Linked DNA regions of Oryzias latipes. The protein of the gene in region 1 binds, or shares a complex with, the protein of each later gene. Links are inferred from orthologs where the notes say so. Each region holds a gene or a part of one and is shown on either strand. Other genes may lie near its edges.

Region 1 (7,233 bases):
GTGAGTTTCTGCTTCATGCAGGCGTTGAGACTTTAAACGTGATCTTAGGTTGGTATGAATGTTTTGTAGATGTGAGACAGACTGCTCACATGCGGACCTGGAGCCAAACACACACTCACACGCTGCAGTGAGTGACAGGCAGTGGGTTTTACCTATTTACAATCCCTGCGCGATTCACCTGCTGTCCCCACAACCCCCCACCCCCACCCTCTGCTAGAATTTCTTGAATTGGTTTCATAATGAAACAAATAAGTAATTCAAGAACATTTTTTTTACACGTGTATTTTCTTTATAAAAACAAGAAACCATTGACATTAACACATAAACAAACATTCATAAAAGCATCCAAAAATTGTAATTTTATTTAAATGGGATGATTTTGACAACGTTGCATGTAAGCATTTATAATAATATGATGTGTTGATGAATAGTTAATGAAAAAGTGTTTTTTTCAATGCTATAAATCAGCTCAGCTGCAGGTTTTTTTCCCCTCCTGCAGCTTCTTCCTCTCTAGACGGATGACAGAAGCACCGTAAAGCCTCACATGTCTGCGCTCGCACTCGTCTGGTCCCATTACTGTAAAATACGGCGTGGACGCCTGGCTGTGCTTTTGCTGGCGGACACGCCTCAGCTTTGACCTTCAGAGCGGCGTGGTCCTCACATCACTCAGTCTTGATGCCCTTTTTTTTTGTTGCTATCTTTCATCCTTGTTTTTATTTTTTCTTTAACCGCACACGCTGAAGATGTTGAGGATGAGGGGAAGTCAGAGCTTTTCAGCTCACATTCACCTAAAGGCCGTGTCACACAGCCAACACGTACATTTTGTGCATATTGCATGGATGAAGCTTTTGCATTGGAATATGGAGTTTTCATTGGAAGTGGTCGCTTGAACACGCGTTGCTGAGGGCGGTGTGAACGTAGCTTAAAGCTACGGTCAGTCAAAGCGTTCAAAAACGTGCTGAACGCGAGTTCTAGAATGTGCGTTTAGCCGACGGTGTTCGCACTGGACGCCGTCCATACGTCACGACCAAATAAGAGTCCCTGGTTGGCCAAAGTTGGACCCACTTTAACTTGCAACATGCGTTCAAGTTTAGCATGTCCAGCACAAAAATGGTCGTAAAGACTTGCGTAGCTACACAGAAACCCGAAACGTGCATCGACACACATTTACGTAGAGTTTTTATCGGAAGTGGCCTCTTGAATGCAAATTGCCGAGGGAGGTGTGGCGAGTGTAAAAAAGAAAAAGAAAAGGCTAAACGTGATTTCTTGAACACGCGTTTAGTCCACAATGTTCACAATGGACTAGCGAGAAGGGGCTTCTGTTGACTAGCGCCTTACCACCACCTACAGTTGAAAGAGGCTTAGCGCGAAATGACGAATTGGTCATTTAGCCCATGGTTGTAGAAATTTGCGCATCTCTATGTAAATGGGAACGTTTTAAACTTGGAAGTCCGAAATACGTGTTTATACACTTTTATTTTTTTGGATGTGGTTACTTGAATGCAAGTTCTTAAACGTGCGTCTAGCCCACGGTTTTCACAATGGACAAGCAGGGAGGGATTCTTCCTCTACTTTTTTTTGTTCACTGTTTACTAGCGCATGTGCGCCATCTACAGTTGGTAGTGGGTTAGTGCAAAATGTTGAAGTGGTGCGAATCTTGGGAATTCTTTTTTGTTTTTTTTCTAGCACAGCTCTATTCCGGTATGAAAGACTTTTCAACATGTTAATTCTTCCATGAATCAAAAGGGACGCCGTTTGTTCATCACAACCAGATCCGAGGGCCCCGATTGGTCAAAGTTTGACCCGCTTTAAGACACATTCAATGAACATTTCGTTAGTCGAGCCCAAAAATGGCCATAAAAACTTGCCTATTTATGTTTTGAACTTGGAGGCCTGTCACATGCATTTACACCTGTTTACATAGACTTTTTATTGGAAGTGGTCATATGAACGTAGACTGGTAGCTCAGAAGAATTCTACGGAGCTCCTAAAGGGACATTAAAGAAGAAAAGCATTAAGGTAAAAATAAAAAAGGTGGCAAAAAAAGCTAACTGGTTTTCTTTGATTTTTGTTCTTTTTTGTTACTTTGTTTTTTTCCCTAGTCATTAACAACAAAATTAAAATATTTAAACAAAATAAAGTAAATTTTTATGTTTTATAAATCTGTGTTTACATCGAGATAATCTCTTTTATTTGCATCATAAAGAAAAAATGAAAAATAGACCCCCCAAAATTATTATTTTTTTCCCAAACTTTTTTCTTAGTTTGGTAATAAAACCAATTAAAAAAAAAAAGAAATTGCACATTTCCAATGAAAATGAATCAGTAAAAGTCATCATGGGATTTAGATTAAATGTAATTTAAAAACGGACACAGCACTGAGAAAACTCACAAACCATGCTTCTGTTTGAAACAACATTATAATATTATTATTTATCAATTATTTACATATTTTAATGCCGTTTCTGATGTTTTAAAGCGTTTTACTAACCTTTATTTTAAAGAAAAAATATACTCATCCGCTTTCAGTCAATCACGAGTTTTCTTCCAGCCAATCAGAGACCGGAGATTCAGCCCATGCCGGAAGTAGTCATCTCGTGTGTCGCAAAAGTCGCGGGAAGATTCCGGGGGGCTACTGTTTGGTGTTTTCTGGAGCCGCGTGAGTGTAAACAACTTTTGTTTACTAAATGCAACTTTTTGTGCTCAACTTCTCAACATTTCGTGATCACGTGGGGGTGTTTTTTTCTTCAACGTGATGTTTCTTTTAGGTTCATCTCCAGCAGGATCACCGAATAGCCGAACTTCCGTTTTAAATGTGGTTACATTAAAATAATGTTTTCCCACGACGTATTTCTTACGTCTAGAAACGGAATGCGCTGTTTATATTTGATAAATAAAACTTTATTTACAATTCGGCTGACATTATAACCTCAGCAAATTCACTTAAAGGCTTCATTTTGACGGTTTAACATGTTCAAAGCCCAATCATTGGAATCAAATCAAACTTTATTTATAAAGCCCTTTTCATACAACAGCAACGCAACATGTTTTACAGTATCTACCCGGCACTAGGAACATCGGACTTCCTGTTTACATTTCTTTAAATATAGAAATTCCTTTTTTTGGGCGGGGTTTATATGTCTACAAACACAAAAGACTTCATTCTTGATACATAAAACTTTATTTACAATTCGGCTTCCAATGTGACGTCAGGTGGGATACTTAAAGGGATCATTTTAACGTTTTAACTTGTTTACTTCAAAGTCTGATCATTTGATTTAAATCAAACTTTATTAACAAAGCACTTTTTTCTCGTCAGGCCATCATGAGTAAGAGGAAAGGGAAAATCTCCCATCAGCCCCTGGGAGAATGCATCACACAGGCTTGTATCCCTTCCTTAAACCTTGAGTTTGCGTGGTAGTGACTTGGAACTTAATGAATTTGTTTGTGTTTTTATGAATTTCTAGGTTCAACGGATCTTGAGGGAGCGATACTGCCAGCAAAAACTAGCCAAAGGACTCGATGGAGTTGGAGCTCAACACAAGTGGGTTTTTATTTTTATTTTAGCTATGTGTCTGATTAAAGCAAAGACGACCCGCAGCTCTGTGACCCAGTTCAGGCTGACGGCGCCGACCTAGTTTGGTGCCCCACCCCCCATCGTTTGTCAAAGCTCACTTGAAGCTCCGCCCATACAGGCACCTGGAGGAGCTGCTGAGGCGCACCGCTGTCTACGGGGAGAGCAACTCGGTGCTGATCGTCGGGCCGAGGGGAGCGGGGAAAAGCTCGGTGAGGAGGCGGCGAGGGAGGGGTGCTGAGGGTGGGCAGTGCTGGTTGTCTGACGGCGTCTGCGTTTGCGCAGCTGCTGAGGAGCGTTCTGCAGGAGCTGCTGGAGGAGAAGGAGGTGCAGGAAAACCTTCTGCAGGTCCACCTTAACGGTAATTGCGACTTTGTGTCCTCCAAATCTGCCTGCTCCTCTAGTAATTTAGTAATTTTCTTTGTTTTTGTTTTTTGTTCCAGGCCTCCTACAGACCGACGACAGAATTGCACTTAAAGAAATAACCAGGCAGCTCCACCTGGAGAACGTCGTTGGAGAGAAAGTTTTCGTATGTTTTTCTTTTTAGTTTGGCGGCCATTTTTGCCTTAAATCGGATCCAAAAATGTTTTCTTTTTTTTTCCCCGTTTCAGGGAAGCTTCGCTGAGAATTTGGCTTTCCTGCTGGAAGCTCTGAAGAAAGGTTGGACGGGTTAAATTTAAGTGGATGACGGTGAAATCCGGTCCTCTCCAGCACTCTGGTTGTGTTTGTGGTTCCGTCAGGTGATCGCACCAGCAGCCGCCCCGTGTTGTTCGTCCTGGACGAGTTCGACCTGTTCGCCCACCACAAGAACCAAACGCTGCTCTACAACCTGTTTGACGTGTCGCAGTCCACCCAGGCGCCCGTCGCCGTGGTGGGACTCACCTGCAGGCTGGTGGGTCTCTTTTTTTTTACTTTTTCGTCAGGGAAGAGTAGCACCCCTTTGACGTCTTCCTGTCTTCTCAGGATGTCCTGGAGCTGCTAGAGAAGCGGGTGAAGTCCAGGTTTTCTCACCGACAGATCCACCTGCTGAGCGGCTTGACGTTCAGTCAGTACCTGGACCGAGTCCGGGCCCAGCTCAGCCTCTCCGATGATTTCTGCGACAGCAGGTTCGCTCAGGAGTGGAACGCCAGTGTAAAGGTAAACCAAGTGAAATGTTTCACTAGGTGATCAAGAATCTAACAATGTGTCATTTGATATTGTGTAGCAGGCAACAATAGTCGTTGCTATGGAAACTTTTCACACATATTTTAGGATAGAGATATGAAACGTGTCGTACTTGTTTATCAGCCCAAAACATGAAAGAAAGAAAAAATCTATGGTTGCTATGGACTTGATTCCTCTAGGGAGCCTGTGGAAACATGATCTGGTAAAATTCACTGATTTAGTTTGTTTTTTTGTCTTGCTTAATTTTGAGTGAGGATAAGTGTTCAAGACATTTGGCAGAAAAACTTAATTGCACCAAAGACCTCTGGTCGGTGCAACTATTTTTGATCTTTAGTTATGCGATCAATGTAAATCGGCTGATTTTGACTCAGGGGAAAAAGTTGCATATTGGTGCAAACATCATTTGCAAAGCTGCTTTTTCTCCGCATCACAATCCGTTTCCCAATTCCGTTAATTATGTGTTAATTGTGCTATTTTCATGTCACCGGCGACAGCTCCCACGTTAAAGGGTTCATGCTCGTGTCGAGCTGAATGCAACATTGTCTGACAAGCTTAAGTATTGGTTGCTATGGAAAGCATTGATATTTATTTAAGGATAGAGATATGAAACTTGTTTCACCTGGTCATCAGCCAGAGACGTAAAACATTTTCAATGGTTGCTATGGACTTGGTACCTCTGGAGACCTGATTTAGGACGACTAACATTTAGTTTTTCTTCCTTAGAATCTCATCGAGGACAAGTCTGTTCAGGACGTTTTGCAGAGACACTTTGACTGCAGCAAAGACTTTCGGTCGTTGCACGTGCTCCTGGTAAGGGATACGCCACTGTCCTTATATTAATTATTGTCAGTCGTTTATAACTCTAAAGTTACAGATGTTGTGTCTGAGCCGGGTCACCCTCGCCAAACCCACCATCAAAGCTTCAGACCTGCTGGATGCCAGCCGCCTCTGCCTCGCCGACTGCAAGACCAACATGCTGCACGGTAAAATCTGTCGACGTTTGTTGGTTACGTCAGTTTACCCGAGTCACGTCTAACGGCTGGCCTTTAGGTCTGTCCATTGTGGAGCTGTGCCTGATCATCGCCATGAAACACCTCAACGATGTTTACGAAGGAGAGCCCTTCAACCTGCAAATGGTCCATAACGGTACAGACTTTGACTCATTTTTCTCCAAACGTGCGACGACAGGACAGAACCCGGAGCGTTTGTGCTTTCAGAGTTCAAAAAGTTCCTGCAGCGCAAGTCCAACTCCATGTATAACTTCAGCCCGCCCGTCATCGTGAAGGTGAGACCTCTTCCAGCCGTCCAAAGGAATTTTAACTGTCCAGGTGTCACCCACTTCGGCCTTGTCCGCTTTGTCTGCAGGGGTTCGAGCACCTGCAGCAGCTGGAGCTCGTCCGGCCCGTCGACGGCTCGCCTAAAACCCAGAGGGAGTACCAGATGATGAGGCTCATGGTGGACCGCAGCCAGATCATGGAGGCGCTGCAGAAGTACCCACAATGCCCCACCGACATCAAGCAGTGGGCCCTGTCGGCTTTTGCCTAAACCCACAAAACACCTCAGAGGAAACTGTTGAATTCCATTGAAGAGTTTTTTTTTTTTTAATATATCTATTTAATAAAACGATAAAATATGGCCTTGTTTTATTTTTTTTATATCAACTTTAAAGTTCTGGATTTAGAATATATAAGTGAAGTTTTTCACAGCTAAATGCTGCCATCTAGTGGTAATCTGTGAAATCTCTTTAAAGAAAACCTCGAAACTTATTACGGCTTTAAACCAATTATGATCTTTAAGATCTAGACTAACCCTTGTGCTATCCTAGGCACTTTAACATTGGGAGTTGGGTCATCTAGACCCACTAGACAGTGCGCTGAATCTTTTTTCTTCAATGATTTGTGATCTTCACTGGTGTCCATGGATTACATGAAATCTTTCCACCTTTATCCTGGTAGGGAGAACACGGCAGTGTAAGGGTGGGGTCATCTGGACCCCATAAGATAGCACAAGGGCTATAAATACCATAAGGTAGATTTTATTTGAAACATTTAAAAGTATATGATGCAGAAATTAACTAGAACTGACATTTGTTTTCTAATTGTTTTTTTCCTAAAACAGGTATATTCATATATTGATTGTTGTGTACTTGATTGAGACTTTATAGAATTGTTGACATTTGAAAGGGGTAATTATAATCTAATTACAGCCAAGTAAAGCTAGAAACTAAAATAATTAGGTTGAAAATACATTGCAAGAATAGGCTGAAAATAACTAAACACTAAGTTAAATGCGTTATTGCTAAAATATAAAAAAAGGGCTAAAAACACAAAAACTTAAAGCTATGTTACAAGATGAAATTATGTTAAATGGCTAAATAATACTAGAAACTCAATTGCTTTAAGAAATCACACTAAATTCTATATTGCTAGCCGCTAGGCTAATATGTAGTCAAAAACACTACACGTGTTGAAAACGTGCTCTAGAAGCTAGCAGAA
Region 2 (7,083 bases), on another chromosome or scaffold:
AAGGAAAAGCAGATGCCCATTTTCACGCTTAGCTATGAAAGACATCAAATCATTTCCCGTTTAATAAATGGAAACCTCGACTGACCCTGTCCAGTTTAGGGGTTTGCAAACGCTCAAGCGTGCGGTCTGACGTCAAGACTTTGGAGCTGCCATGAGCCTCAAAATACTCCTCAGTCATGGTGGGTTTGCCGAACGCTTCTGCTGAGTTCTTGCTTTTTTTGGCAGGAGTCTTGGAGAGCGCTGACGACGAGCCTTTATTGGGAGTTCTCTGTGTCTTTGTGTTTTCTTTCTGTTCTTCTTTAAACCCATTTGGGCCCTCTTCATCCTCCTCCTCCTCCGACGAGTCAGAAGGTGAGAGTTCGCTGTCGCTGTCTGAGCGGAGTCCGGGGGCTGAAATCATGGAGCCAGATTAGATTTTTCCTTCATTCATCTTCTAAACCCGTTTTGTCCCTTTCTGGGTCATGGGGCTGCCGGAGCCAATCCCGGCCACTTGTGGGCAGGGGCCACAAATCACACACCCATGCACACTCACATCTATGGATAATTTAGAGTAACCAATTAACCTATGATCTCACCACCGGCCCGTCTCGCCCACCCCGTTGGGCGATAGGACCCGAAATTAGGGGAACTATGCCTGGGCAGGGCAAAGCCAGAGAAAACTCTGGTGGAGGCCCGCAGCGGTCACGACGAGCAAATCGGTCGTCCGACCTGGGTATAGGGGCGAAAGACTAATCGAACCATCTAGTAGCTGGTTCCTTCCGAAGTTTCCCTCAGGTTAGCTGGCGCTCGAAGTCTGGCAGTTTTAGTTGGTAAAGACCAGATTTGATTGGATTCATTATTTTTTTTGCATTGTTTTGGACTCACCTGTCAGTCTCTTCCTGAGTCTATGTGGGGTTGTGGAGACAAACTGGACTTTTTTGCTCTGTTTTTGGAGGAAAGCAGGAATGGTGACCAAAAATTGCATGACCGTGACTTTAACCTCTTTAAAAAATAAGAATGTCTTTAATTTTTAGTGGTCTCACCCTATGTGGGGTCCGGTTTCCTGCTCTGTGATCTTAAGCAGAGGAGAACAGGAATCAGCTAAAAGTGCTTGAACAGAGGAGCAGAGGGTCTGGGGAACTCACCGCGACCTGTTCGAGTGGGGGTTTGTGGTTCAGTGCTTGAGGTCGTGCTGACGTTTGCGCTTTTGCCCGGCGTTCGCGCCAGTTCATTCGCTGCGTGCAAAAACAAGAGGCAAAGGATGCTGGGAAAACAACTTCTGCAGCTTGCAAGACAGTTTGGGCAAACATGTGAGAAGAGGCTGGAGAACCTCACCAGTTTGGGCCATGCGGTGGCTACGCTTGATTTTTTGGAAAGTAAAAATAGAGGATCCAGCCACTCCTGAGAGACCGTCTTCATCTGCTGTAAAAGAAAAGGATCAAAAGATTCATGTGAATTATTGAGACAACTCAGAGAAGTTTCTCTTTTCCAACCTTCTGTTACTCAACTACATAAATGAATAACATTTGGTGCTAGTTTACAAAGTTTCAATCGTGTTTATTTTTGGTCACTGATGAAGAAACTCTTCCTCCAGCATGACTGCAGGTGAAAATGCAGCTGAAGTGGCTGAAATAATGCTGAAAACCCCGACGGAGGTGAGGGAAGGCAGAAAAATGTAAACAATGACGAAGGAAAATCCTTCAAACACTGGTATAAGAAATCCAAAAGAAAACAGAAATGTAACAGAATGCTGTCAAAAGTTTTACGAATATCAAAACACTTAAATCTTAAAGACCAGCTGGTCCAATGTAAAAAGCCTTTCTGGAGGTTTTAACATATTCTCGTGACATTTTTTTATGCTGGAGGACATATATTAAGAAAATGGATCCCAAAATTGCATTCTGAGTATTTCTCTGCTCACATTGTTTTTAATCGAGGACAGACAAAAAAATCCAGTTGGAAAAACAGAATATTTGTGATGTAGAGCCACAAGCTCCCTGCTCTGCTCCATTCGAATGCATCCATCTGTGGACGACTATATTCTTTATTTTCCTTATCCGACCTGGCATCTACCTTAAAACTTTACAGCTGGATAGCTCAGATATAACTCTCCATTTTTGTTGCACCTGTATTGTTAGGTAGGAGGTTTGAAGGGCTGTAAGCTAGCAAGCGAACGTGTAAACAGGTGGATGATGGGAAGTGGGGTAGGGCTTATTCCACGGCCATTGGTCCCGCCCACAACTCAAAGGCGAATTTCTAATGAACCACTGCAGCTCAGCAGAAATTATGTCCTAGAAAACAACACAGCCTTTATTTTATTTAGGCTAAAAAGGTATAGTCATAATCAGAAGATGTTTTGAAAATAGCTGAAAAGATGACCAGAGAGGGACTTTAAAGATTCTCAGACTGCTCTAATTGACTGTTTCAATAAGTTAAACCTGCTAGATTATTTTTTGCTATGCACAATTCAACCCAACAACTACAATAACATTATTAATAATATACAAACATTACACCTTGTACAAGAAGAAAACAGTAATTAATATGTTAATACACTTTATACATTTTAATACACTTTATTTAATACAATGAAATGTGATTATAATCTATCAAAAATACCAATGAAACTATCAAACTTTTACTTTTACTTAGAATTTGGGAAGACGCTTTTCACCCATAACTTCTCCCCTCACAACACTGTTTTATGGAACAACAGATTTATAGCTGTAAACAAGAAATCCTTGTTTATGTCTGAATGGTATGATTATGGTGTGTGTTTTGTTCATGACTTGATGCATACTGATGGAATGTTGTTATCATACAATGAGTTTGTAACTAAATACAAAATTAAGGATTCTAGTAACTGTTATAACAAAGTCTGTAAAGAAATTCCAATACCTTTACTTAATCTTATTCATAACATACTACAATACAATGCAATCCAACCACAATTTTCACAGCTGAAAATTAATGATATTCCCATAAAAGATAAAAAATGCAACAATAAATTAGTAACTCTAACCTTTAAACAAATCATTTTCTGCAACTTTAGTAAAAAAAAATAGATGCGACTTAGAAACCACCCTAATGGACAAATCTTTTTCTTAATACAAAAAGTTCCCACTTCCACCTAAAATGAAAGAAACACATTTAAAAATAATATTGAAAAATTTACCCTGTTGGAAATTTTTAACATAAAAGATTCAAATTTCAATGGGAACCATGGCTATTCTGTTCATCTGAAACTGAAACGTTGGAACATCTCTTTTACAGTTTCAACCAGATACAAATATTTTGGACTGATATTCACAATTTGTTGTCACTTAAAGTTTTAAATATTCCCTTTTTTTCTTTATCTGATGGTTTTTTCTATATGGAAAATCTGGACCCGGGAATTTCTGATGTCATTAATGTTGTTATTATTTTATGCAAACATTTCATTCATTTATGTAAATGGAAAAATACATGCCCTTTGTTTAGTATTTTTTGAATTATTGTTCTGATTATTATGAGTGTCTTAAATGCATTCCAAAACAAAAACAAGAAAACTTCAGTAATTTCTCAAAATATATCAAAAGTATTGTTATTTTGGGGCGACAGTGGCTCAGGTGGTTGGGCGGGTCGTCCAATGATCAAAGGGTTGGCGGTTCGATCCCCGCTCCCACCAGCCAAAAATGTTGTTGTGTCCTTGGGCAAGACACTTCACCCTCCTTGCCTCCAGTGTGGCTCCACTGGTGTGTGAATGCACATGAATGATCCTGGTGATGGTCAGAGGGGTGCGAAATGGCAGCCACGCCTCTGTCAGTCTGCCCCAGGGCAGCTGTGGCTGCAACTGTAGCTTACCATCATCAAGTATGAATGAGGAGTGAATGAATAATGGACATAATGTAAGCGCCCTTGGGTGTCTTGAAAAGCGCAGATAAATCCAATCCATTATTATTGCCTTTTTTTAAATTTTGTTTTGTTTTTTCTATATGCACATTTATAACGATTGTTCACCCTAACTTGGTTTGTATATGAGCATTTATAAAAAAGAAAAAAGAGGCACACGTTATTAATAATATTAGTATTATTGTTTATTTTTTGGTCTTATGTGTGTGTTTGATATTAACAATTGTTGCTTTATTGTGCAAATTGTGTGAATTTCTGTAAATTGAAAAAAAAATGTACAATAAAGTTTATTGGAAAAAATAGAGAGCGAGAGTCTGTATCCATTCCTGTGTATGTCAACATCTGCATGTAAAGAGCTGTGATGTACCTTTAGTTCTTCATGGCAGGAGTAGGGTTAACTTGTTTATTGAAGTTGTAAATAAGCAAAAAATGACTAAATGACAGAGTTGTTGTCGCCTCACCTGTTGCATTATCTGCTCCCAAAGCCTGGATATAATTCTGCTCGTCAAAGACCTCATCTTCCTCCTGTTCTTCCTCCTCCAGGCACCCCCGACGTCCAGCGGGGCTCTTAAACGTCACCATCCTCTGCACAGACTTTCCGCCGCCCAGCACGCCTGCGCAGACCAAACACAGGGAGTTTAAGATCACCGCGTCTGCGCAGATTTGTTGAAAGACTTAAAAGCTTTTACCGTCATGTTTCTCCACGATGTGCTCCAGAACATCCTCATCCCCGACAAACTTCACCTCCATCGCGCTCGGTCCTCTAATGGCAAACACAACACACTGCGTGGTTGGACGCCGAGAAGACCGATACATACAGGTTGACCAAAAATATAAAACTTTATGAAAAAACACACTGACAGCGTGGGAAAAGCTCGTAAAAACTAAGCACCTTGCAGAGAAACGTTAGCAAACTGAACTAAATACCACGGTGAGCTGACAACTTCCCGCGCCATCCTTCTGAAGGTTTAAACCACGTGACAGGCGAAAGGTCGTGTACTGACCAATCACAGCCCACACACTTAAAAAATCATTACCCAGAATGCACTTCAAAGTCTAACTTTTGTAAAGGTTTCCGATATAATTTTTTTCACTTATTTTTTTTTTAACAACATACAAAAGAAATGTGTGAGTGGCCGTTGTAAAGATAGAAATAAAGCAAAAAGAAGGAACTAAAGTTTATAAGAAAATGTGCCTTTTTAAACACACGTTTATTTCAGACTCAGATGTGGTCCATAGAAAAAGATACAAATACAGTATACATAATAAAAAGTAAAAATATATAAATTAAAAAGAGTATAATCGCTGTATCCAGTGTTTCCTCAGGGCAGAAGTGTAGCTGCATGAGCTTCTTTTGGGATCAGTCAGAGACATGATAATTGAGTTCTTAGATTTGTCTAGGCGTTCCATAAGGCCGTATGTAAGCTTACGCAGTAGTGCTTCACTGGTGGGGATGTGAGCATCCACAAATAGCTGACTGGCTCTGTACCACCTTGGCACCTGTAGCAGAAGCCTAAAAGCATCATTATAGGCCACTAAGAATTTGCGGTATGTCCCACGTCCATAGTTCCACCAAAGAGGGGCCGTATACAGAGGAGTGCAGTAAGCTCTGAACAGCGAACATTTCACTTGAAGAGAACACGTACTGAATTTTCTCATCAGCATGTTTGCCTGAGCATAGAGTTTACAGTACTGTCTCTGAATGTCTCTATCATCCCTCCAATCATCAGTAATGAAATGTCCAAGGTATTTGATAGATGAGGTTTGTTCCAGAGGCGTTCCACAAAGCTTAAAAACAGGAAAGTTTACATTTCTGTCGTCTTTGGTCCTTACAATCATTACTTTGCTTTTAGAGGGATTGTAGTTTATATCAAAATCTCTGCCATAGTCAGAACAAACTTTTAAAAGTGTTTGTAACCCAGCACTGTAGGGGCTAAAAATGACAAGGTCATCAGCATACATAAGATGATTAAAGGTCTGACATCCAACAACACACCCAGTTTTGCACAGATTCAGAAATTACTTTAGTCGAAATTGCCTTTTTTGTTTTAATTTGTTTGAGGATTTTACCAAAAAGTGTTTTAAATAAATTTTTAATTTGACTATGACCTTTTTTGAATATGAAAATTCTCCAAAAACCAAATCAATTGTTTTATAAAAAAACAATGTTCCAGTCAACGTTGATCATAACAACCCATAATGATGTCCTTTTCTGAAAGTTTTAATGTTTTTCCAGTTTTATATGACTGAATTTTATTTCCAACATCAAACGACAAATTAATTATTTGAAGTCTAACTTGTTGACATACCAAACCATTGACAATTATATGCGTCGTTTTTTTTTTTAAATCAACCACTCTGGTTACATTGTAATTATTATAAAACTATTTTAAAACACACGTCTAAAATCTTGGAAAGAATTTGATTTAATACAAATGTCATTTGTTTGAAAATTAAGTTGCATTAGCAAGATGCTGACCAGACAAGTTAAAATCCTTATAAATCTCACTTTAAATTTGATTAAAGAAAAGAAATACACATCATACCCCCATAAATACACTTAAGTACAAACAAATTGGCAAAATTTAAATCACTACCAATTTTCTATGTTTTTTTATTGCTTGTGATTATTTTTTTTTAATCGAATAAGTGGTGGGTTTAAAGCACCTTTGACAAACAATGCAATTTGCTTTATAAAGATGTTTAGTGTTTACTCCAACCAATATTTATTATCCTCAAAACAAAAAGAAAATGCCGATTGACTTATAATTTAATGAATGTATCTCTAGGTCCTATTTTTTCAGAAAAATATGGATTGGCAAGAGCCAAGAGGAAAGCAAAAATAATCTGGAGCTAAATTTTATTACAATAATTTTAAGACATTCCTGGAAGTGATTTTATTAAGTTCCACAACTACACACATTCTTAACTATGAAAATGTAAAATTATCATTGCATAGTTTACATTATTTTTCATATATTCATCATGAAAAGATGCTCTGCTTAAGCTGGAATTTCACTCAACACATGTAAATGTTTTACAAGCAACTCAAAAGTAACATGCATGACTATAACATAACATAAACATGCAGACATGAGCTCAAAAATCTCACCATAAAACATTTATGAAATAATTTCAACCACAGAATCAAACTGCTAAAGTTGATGAACCTGCAGATAAAATTCTCTTATACGCTGAGGATTAGTTGCTGAT
Region 3 (7,351 bases), on another chromosome or scaffold:
AACAAAAACATTGTGCAAGATTTTTGTGTGTCGAGTACTACAGAAACTCAATTGGAGGTCAACTACCAGAACTTAGGCAGATTTTCTGTTTTTGAATTCAAGGATTTAAAGTATAATAATGCTTAAAAAATACAGTTAAAGTATTTTGATTACTTTTGTAAGTTTTTAAGTTACATTTACAATTGGCTGAGATGCACCTCAAGTGATAAAATAAACTGCTTTTTTTAATCACTGCTCTACATTTGCTGCATTGAGATGATTCTATGTGGCATGGGAAGTCTTTTATTTTGAATTAAAGTCATGTAATCCACTCCAAAAGTTGTAAACTATTTGATATTTTGAAAATTTAACAATAGAAAGTCAAAATGTATTTCAGTTATTTGCCCACATCAGACGTTTTTTACACACTATTTCTTCCCAAAAAGGAACTAAAACCTATTATCTGTCTCAGCTTAATAGAATTACATAACGTTACTTTTGTGTTGTAGTTTTCCTTTTTTACTTTTGCAAACCCCCTGGCATTTGTTTTGAAAAAGTGATGCACAGTTTATTCCTTACTGTATGTCATTTAAATGTTCTGAATAAAGACTTTAAAAAAGGGGGAAAATCATATTGTGAAATTGGGGTATTTCTTTTTTATCTTAATGTTTTATGTATGCCAAAAAAAAGTTAATTTATCATAGTAACAGTATAAATATAAATCAGTGTATTAGTTTTCTGAAGGGTGAGGTAAAACGGAGCAGGACGGTTAAGTGTTGAAAGCTGCAGACTTATGGCCGGACAATTACAGGCAAATTTGTATTATTGACTTTGTTTTTGACAAAAGATGTAATTTCAGGTGTGATCTCTTCCAAATTGCCATTCTGAGGCAATACTTTGGATTTTTTTTAATAACTGTTTTGGCTCTGTCAGTTGTTTTTCCGTCATAGCTTGACTCCTAACATCCCCCTGAACTTCCACCTGGAAGCAGAGCAGTCCTACCTGCAGCCAGCTGCATCCAGCCGCAGATCTTGTACACGGTTCCGGTGCTGCAGAAGAAGAACAGCGCGAAGCAGGCGATGCAGGTGATGACCAGCGACATGGACATGCAGATGAAGAAGGAGGCGGCTTTGAACGCTCCGGAGGGGATGCTGCTGAACTCCGTGAAGCTTCCCTGACAGGTCAGGTCCCGGGACAGTCCGTTCCCGATGCAGTAGTGGAACAGACCAAAGTAGCCCGCCTGAGGCGTGTCTGCGCCGTCCCCGATCCAGTACGGCTGGATGAAGCACACCACGTTGACGATGGCGAAGAGGATGGTGAATATCGCCCAGAGGACGCCGATGGCCCGGGAATTACGCACGTAGTTGGTTTGGTAGATCTTGGCAGCCTCCGAGGCGGGAAGCATGGTGGTGGTCGCGCTGGGGGCCCCGGGGACCATCCTCCGGTGTATGTGAGGTAAGAGACTTAAGATTTGCACTCAGTAAACAAACCTCTTCCTCGTCAGGTAGTAATCTTCATCAGAACTAGCTAATTTTCCTGTTTTACGTGGATGCTTTACGCGTCTTCAATGCGCGCTCGCATCCTTGACTTGAGCCCTCTTTGCGCTTTCCTCCTTCATCAATCTACGGGAGAAAAAGAAAGACAATCTATTGAAATGCTTGAGAAATCCTCTCTGCAGAAGGCTTCCTCTGCCCGCTCCCCTGATGTCTCCTCCTGGTGTTTCTGCCTGAGACGATAACACCGCTCCAGCTGCCACGAGTGGCTGAGATGTGGCTGAAATGGTCTGTGTGCTCTCGACGGAGCAGCAGCCGCGGATGAGATCCTATTGAATTAGAGTCGGAAGATAGTTGCGGATATTACACAGGCAACTCACATCCCTTAATCCCATTCTGACGCATTATTCCGGTAACGCGCGTAAATCCCGAACAGACACATTGATATGAAAGCAAATGCGAAGACTAAATGCTTTTGATTTTTCTGCTCGTCAATCCAGTGCGCATGACTGATACGATCAGCATAAATACAAGTTCATAAAAAAACAAGGATGCGCTCTTCCTACATATACAATTTTAAATAGGTTCGTTTACAAAATTTCTGAATTGTAGTCTATTTTCAAAATATAAATGTTAGGTATTCCTAATTAGTTTAGTTTGGTTAAATTTAATTATCATATTTCTTAAAACAAACACACAAATAATCCTAAAAAGGTGAAAGGTTAGAGACAATAAAATAAGTTTTATTGGGTAATGGGTAAATCAGGAAGGTTATTTACAATACAGATTAGCCAAAATATGTATAATTACTCGTTTTAATAAAAAAAAAATCATTCTTAACAGCTCATACTAGATGCATACTCTCCAACGTTTTTAAAATTACACATCATAATTATGAGATATATATGAAATAAAGTATAATTATTTATTTCGTTTCTTTTTTTAAAATACTTTTTGATTTAAAAGATGTCTAAAGTTGTTTTTTATTTTATGTTTCGGATTTTTACTACATTACCCAGAGTTCCACAATACTTTTCTGATTGGATCATACGGAGGCGGAGTTTATGACGTAATCCAACGGCGCGCAAAGTGATCGCAGCCGGTTTCAAGTACATTTGCTCGTTTTTCCTCGATAAAAACGTAGTTTTTGAGGAGTGTTTTAAAGTTTTGTATCACGCGCTTTCTTCGACTTAACGACGTCAAGTTCACTTTTTTGCCGCTAACGCTGGCGACCGTCATCTTTATTTTCGTGAAAGTTAAGCTAATGTTTTGGTTTGTTTATTAGTTTAGCTCCTCGTGGCTTCAACTATAAAGTTAGAACCAAGAAAAGCAGAATGGCGGGACTGTTAGAGCATCCTGGATACGACGAGGAGAGGCTGAAGAGAGCCGCAGAGCAGCTGCCCTGCAGAGAAGTTCAGGCTGGGATGTTGCTGTCCCTTATGGGAGAGGTATGGGGCCGTTAACTCAAGGAAGGTCCACCTGATAACAAAATTCCCAAAGCAAAACAGTGTAATTATTAGTCAATGTATTTATAAAATAATAATAATAAAGTTTTTCATAAATTCTCATTCTCGTGTTAAAACACCAGTCGGAGTTGCTTTAATACCCACTCTGATTCATTAAAAATTGTTTGTAACATGTACTTGTGGCATTTTTCCAATGTTCTAAAAGTATTTCTTTATTAAAATTGTGATCCAGGACCAGACGAAAAGGCTCTGTTTGAAAAAGATCGTATATTTGTGATGTAGAAAACACACAAGCTCCCTGCTCAGCTCCATTCTGATGCACTTGTAAACAAATAGATCCATGTATGTCTTTGTTTTCTTCGCCCAAACTAGTGTCTGGCGCCCAAATGTACGGCTGGATATAGCTCCAATATTGCTCACCCTTTTTGTTGCACCAGTAATGTTAGTTTGGGTGTTTGAGAAAGATAGTGGGAGAGTGTAAACAGAGCTGTGGGCAGGGTTACTCTGTGCCAACAGTCTTTCCCACAATCAGACGTGAATTTATAATGAATTACTGCCGCTCTGCAGAAACTATGTCTTAGAAAATGTCAGAGGGTTTTTGATTTTAGCTAAAAAAGGGCATCATCATAATTAAAAGACCACTGGGAACACTTTGTAAATAAATCAAAAGATGAATATAGTAGGTTGTAATTTTTATTATTATTATTATTATTATTTAAAAGTGTGTTCATGAATAGGAATTTAGTCTTTGTGAGACGAGATAGATTAAAGAGACTTTGGACAGAAACGTAGTCGTATTGTTCTTGCTATTTTTAAATTCTTACTTAAAATATAGAGACACACCTTGCACAATTACAGACTACCGTATTTTCCGGAGTATAAGTCGCACCAGCCCAAAAATGCATTATAAAGTAGAAAAAAACACAGATAAGTCGCACTGGACTATAAGTCGCATTTTAACTTTCACAACCTTATATGACACAATCATAGCAGACTGTTTATCTAATAATTTCACAGTAATTTTTTCTCAAACTTATTTATTTATTCCTTTCATGAAGCATCATTGGCTAACTAATACTCTGTTTTCATCCTGTATTTGTAGAAACAGTTTTCACTTTTATTGCATTTCTGAATCTATGAAATCTTTGGAAAATAGAATATTATGTTGTTAGCCTTCAAGATCTAACTGTAAAAAAAAGTTTGCTGATTCTCTGAGTCACTGAACATACTCTTAACACTTAACACTTACACTTAACACTTACCTCATACATCAAATTGACCCAGGAACATCATCTCTGTTCCTCACAAATGAACATAACAGGAGGGTTAACAATGTATTTATTTCAATTTATTTCTAATATAAGTCGCTGCGGAGTATAAGTCGCACCCCTTGCCAAACTATGAAAAAAAGTGCGACTTATAGTCCGGAAAATACGGGTATTTAAAATAAATACAAGAACTAAAAATAAAAAGGGAAATTTGGTGAAACAGGTGAGATGGACTTTAAAAATATGGAGTCACATTAGGCTAATAATTTCATTAAATAATGGACACTGTACTGAAATATGATATTTCTCTAAGTGTTACTCAAATATGTATATTTTGTATGTAATGATCTTGTTTTTATACTATTTTAAGCTGCCTTACAATCATCTTGAGCGTCTTGATAAGCGCTTCAAATAAAATAAAGTAACCCTTTTATTCTTGGGCATTTAGGTGATGACTAATATAGTATTTAGAGCATTTTTCAATGTATTATGTTGTTTTTACCTAGTACTGGTGCAATGATCTAATATTATTGACAGTAACATTCGTGTTATTTTTCTCTTGACAGCCACACCAGTACTGCTACCCCTCAATCTTCATCTACGGTCATCGGGCTTCAGGAAAAAGCCATGTAATAAATGTTCTGATGAAGGAGCTGGAGGTGATGTCTGTTAAATCCGTGGTTGTTTTGGTTTAGATGTGGTTTCTCAGTGTTGTCTTTTGACAGCGTCAAAGAAAAGATGGATTCTGAAAGCTTTTTCTCCTTAGGGTTTCATCTTTTTCGAAGTTGAAAGGATAATGAAGGAATGACAACAACAAGAGAACACGGGGTTTCTTTCAATAAACACTGAAAGAGTGTTTAGTTAATTAAACATTGCGCTTTTTTCAAGTAAATAAGTGGATTCTGGTGATGTCAATTACATTTGTGGGTTACAAAAGTAAAACGTGAAAAAGATGTGTTTTTGCTAAAACCAAAGGATTATTTATCATTTACATTTAATCTGCAAAAGATAAAATCCACCCTCTAAAGTGTTGTCTTTGTTTGGGCAGTATGTTGTTGGGTTTTTAAAAAGTAGCAGCTGGGATTTTTGTGCCATGTGATGTTTTTTTTTTTTGTGCATCCTCCAGAGTTCTCAGTTTCCTTCTTACACCTCCTCTTCCTGCAGCTTCCTCACGCCACGCTCAGCTGTGTCGAATGCGTTTCTGTCGCGCTGCTGTTTGAGCAAGTCTTGCGGTCCTTCTTCGGGTGCGACGTGGCCTCGCTGCTCCCTCGCAGCCCCTCCCTGACAGACTTTGTGCGCATTTACCGCCAGCAGTCGCCTGCCCGGCAAACGCGCTACATTGTGAGTTCACGCTCCTCCCTCCTTTTTTCCCATCGTTTGTGCTCTCGTGACTCATGGTTTTCACTTGAAAAATGCTGAAATCGTAATTTTTCCATCTCCAAATCGTTTCATCTGTTCAAATTTAAGTCTAAGAAGTTAACTGCGAGTGGATATGATGAACTCTATTTTGAATTTTTTAGGTCATGGAAAAAGCGGAACTTCTGAGAGACGCCGATGCTAACCTCCTCCCGGCTCTCCTCCGCCTGCAGGAGCTGGTGAGATGATTCAGCTCTTTGTCTCATCTGTCCAGCATATTTTTGCTGGAGGGTGTGGTTGATGAAGGAGGGAAGGAAATCATTTGTAACGGATGACCTTTTGCTTGAGTGCAAGATTTTTCATAATGTTGTATGGAGGAAATAGTGTTAATTGTTCAATGCATTTTATTAGAGACTCAAGTGACAGATTGTCTTTTATTCTAGGAAGTAGTTTATTGGAACATTGTCTGCATTTTTACACAATAATTAGGATACAGAGTCATTTAAATATGCTGAAAGATAAAGAAAAGTTTTTTTTTAAGGGGAGTTATTAAAGACATATTTATTTGACTCAAATATCCACAGATAATTCAGATTCACTTCATTTATAAAGGGTTGAAACAGTTTATTCATTTTCAATAACTGAAGCATCTGCTGCTACAATTATATGCACCATATTCAGAATAAAAATCATTTCCTAGTTGTGTAAATAATCACAAAGGTGTAATTACATGTGTTTCAGTAGCAGGAATATTCTTGGGCGTTTTTGAAATATTACACAACAAAGGCTAAAAGTCATCCTAGCTGGGTAAAAAGACCACTTTTGTTGGATCTTTTTTTATAGAATATTGTCACCTGGTACTAGGTGCGTACAAATTGTGGTTTTTAAATGTGTGACAGTGGGGAAATTTTCACTCAAAGATAGTACCGTAGAAAGCGAAAACAATCTGATCTCTGGCGTCCAGGACTGCTGCGGGCCATAATGACGGCTGCAGCTGCCACGGGGAGCTCTGACTGAGCTGTAGCATAGCCTAATGCTCTGTTTGCTGCTGTGTGCATCTTTTCTGCAGGTTGAGGACAATGTTACTGTCATCCTGCTCAGTGAAATAGTCTGGGACACGTTCAGACCGAACACGGGCTGCTTTGAGCCCCTCCTGCTCCACTTCCCAGACTACAGTAAAGGTATTCACAGGCTCACTCTGCTAAATCTGAACTTGCAATCGTGTTTTCACAAGTCAGGCATCAGCTTTAGTTGAATATTTAATTCTGATGCAGCACTGTATAAATTCAGCAGCTGGTGGGAGGCCTTTATTGTGAAAATCTCTTGCTGCTTTGCATGTTCTGTATCTTTGTGAATTTGAGGTCAGTGATGTTGGAACTTTATTGGTGTGTTTGCAGTTGAGCTGCAGCAGATTTTGTCTCAGGACAGACATCCTTCCTTTTCCGCTGAGCTTTACTCCTTCTACGTCAGCGTCCTGCTGGGAGTCTTTTACTCGGTCTGCCGAGACCTACGAGAACTGCGACACCTGGTCAGAAACCCAAACTTCACTCCAAGTTAAGACACTTCGCTTCAGCGCCAGACTCATTTCTGCTCCTTCTCTTTTCAACAGGCTGCCCTCAACTTTTCAAAGTTCTGCGAGCCATTGGCCGAAGGGAAAGGTAAAACATCTCAACTAGCAGTGCCCAAGTTCAGGCCTCGAGGGCCGCTGTCCTACAATGTTTTCCAACCAACCTGCCATTAAAGCTCCTTATTGGCTAAACACACCTGATCCAGGTAATCAGCAGCAGAA

Evidence for each region. Proteins that work in one complex are often made in the same cells at the same time.
Region 2: the proteins of orc4 (region 1) and orc2 are in contact, whole or in part, in a cryo-EM structure (PDB 7JPP), measured with the Homo sapiens proteins. The link is inferred for Oryzias latipes from reciprocal best matches to the Homo sapiens genes ORC4 and ORC2. Residues at the interface, in NP_001177808.1 of Homo sapiens: Lys168, Asn169, Arg195, Glu200, Leu201, Lys204, Arg205; in NP_006181.1 of Homo sapiens: Asp501, Asp504, Tyr508, Ser512, Gln518, Glu522, Val554.
Region 3: the proteins of orc4 (region 1) and orc5 are in contact, whole or in part, in a cryo-EM structure (PDB 7JPO), measured with the Homo sapiens proteins. The link is inferred for Oryzias latipes from reciprocal best matches to the Homo sapiens genes ORC4 and ORC5. Residues at the interface, in NP_001177808.1 of Homo sapiens: Ser18, Gln21, Arg22, Arg25, Glu26, Cys29, Arg30, Gln31, Arg69, Thr74, Asn100, Leu102, Leu103, Gln104, Ile105, Ile109, Glu113, Arg116, Asp162, Arg277, Met281, Met284, Leu285, Asn288, Met311, Asp312, Ser313, Lys314, Asn316, Ile317; in NP_002544.1 of Homo sapiens: Ile17, Ser20, Leu21, Phe22, Gly23, Glu24, His26, His27, Phe28, Ser29, Phe30, Pro31, Tyr36, Gly37, His38, Thr39, Thr98, Phe99, Asn100, Val103, Arg104, Arg131, Glu134, Asn136, Pro139, Gly140, Arg143, Gln145, Glu146, Leu147.

What each region holds. Positions count from the first base shown.
Region 1 is NC_019860.2:3,471,772-3,479,004, reverse strand, and holds orc4 (origin recognition complex subunit 4), read left to right. Parts: upstream 1-2,531; 5' UTR 2,532-2,659; exon of another isoform or gene 2,660-2,665; intron 2,666-2,749; exon of another isoform or gene 2,750-2,768; intron 2,769-3,319; 5' UTR 3,320-3,325; coding exon 3,326-3,382; intron 3,383-3,467; coding exon 3,468-3,544; intron 3,545-3,695; coding exon 3,696-3,786; intron 3,787-3,859; coding exon 3,860-3,935; intron 3,936-4,017; coding exon 4,018-4,103; intron 4,104-4,185; coding exon 4,186-4,234; intron 4,235-4,314; coding exon 4,315-4,466; intron 4,467-4,537; coding exon 4,538-4,711; intron 4,712-5,461; coding exon 5,462-5,548; intron 5,549-5,612; coding exon 5,613-5,721; intron 5,722-5,788; coding exon 5,789-5,884; intron 5,885-5,955; coding exon 5,956-6,023; intron 6,024-6,103; coding exon 6,104-6,283; 3' UTR 6,284-6,374; downstream 6,375-7,233. UniProt on the Homo sapiens protein: Component of the origin recognition complex (ORC) that binds origins of replication. DNA-binding is ATP-dependent. The specific DNA sequences that define origins of replication have not been identified yet.
Region 2 is NC_019875.2:17,272,094-17,279,176, forward strand, and holds the start of orc2 (origin recognition complex subunit 2), read right to left. Parts: upstream 4,828-7,083; 5' UTR 4,687-4,827; coding exon 4,560-4,686; intron 4,485-4,559; coding exon 4,332-4,484; intron 1,402-4,331; coding exon 1,315-1,401; intron 1,215-1,314; coding exon 1,125-1,214; intron 1,055-1,124; coding exon 1,023-1,054; intron 923-1,022; coding exon 865-922; intron 391-864; coding exon 86-390; intron 1-85. UniProt on the Homo sapiens protein: Component of the origin recognition complex (ORC) that binds origins of replication. DNA-binding is ATP-dependent. The specific DNA sequences that define origins of replication have not been identified yet.
Region 3 is NC_019881.2:17,804,373-17,811,723, reverse strand, and holds the start of orc5 (origin recognition complex subunit 5), read left to right. Parts: upstream 1-2,524; 5' UTR 2,525-2,806; coding exon 2,807-2,920; intron 2,921-4,772; coding exon 4,773-4,865; intron 4,866-5,370; coding exon 5,371-5,547; intron 5,548-5,726; coding exon 5,727-5,801; intron 5,802-6,631; coding exon 6,632-6,743; intron 6,744-6,959; coding exon 6,960-7,090; intron 7,091-7,171; coding exon 7,172-7,220; intron 7,221-7,351. Other genes in the region: LHFPL tetraspan subfamily member 3 protein, read right to left, coding at 982-1,417. UniProt on the Homo sapiens protein: Component of the origin recognition complex (ORC) that binds origins of replication. DNA-binding is ATP-dependent. The specific DNA sequences that define origins of replication have not been identified yet.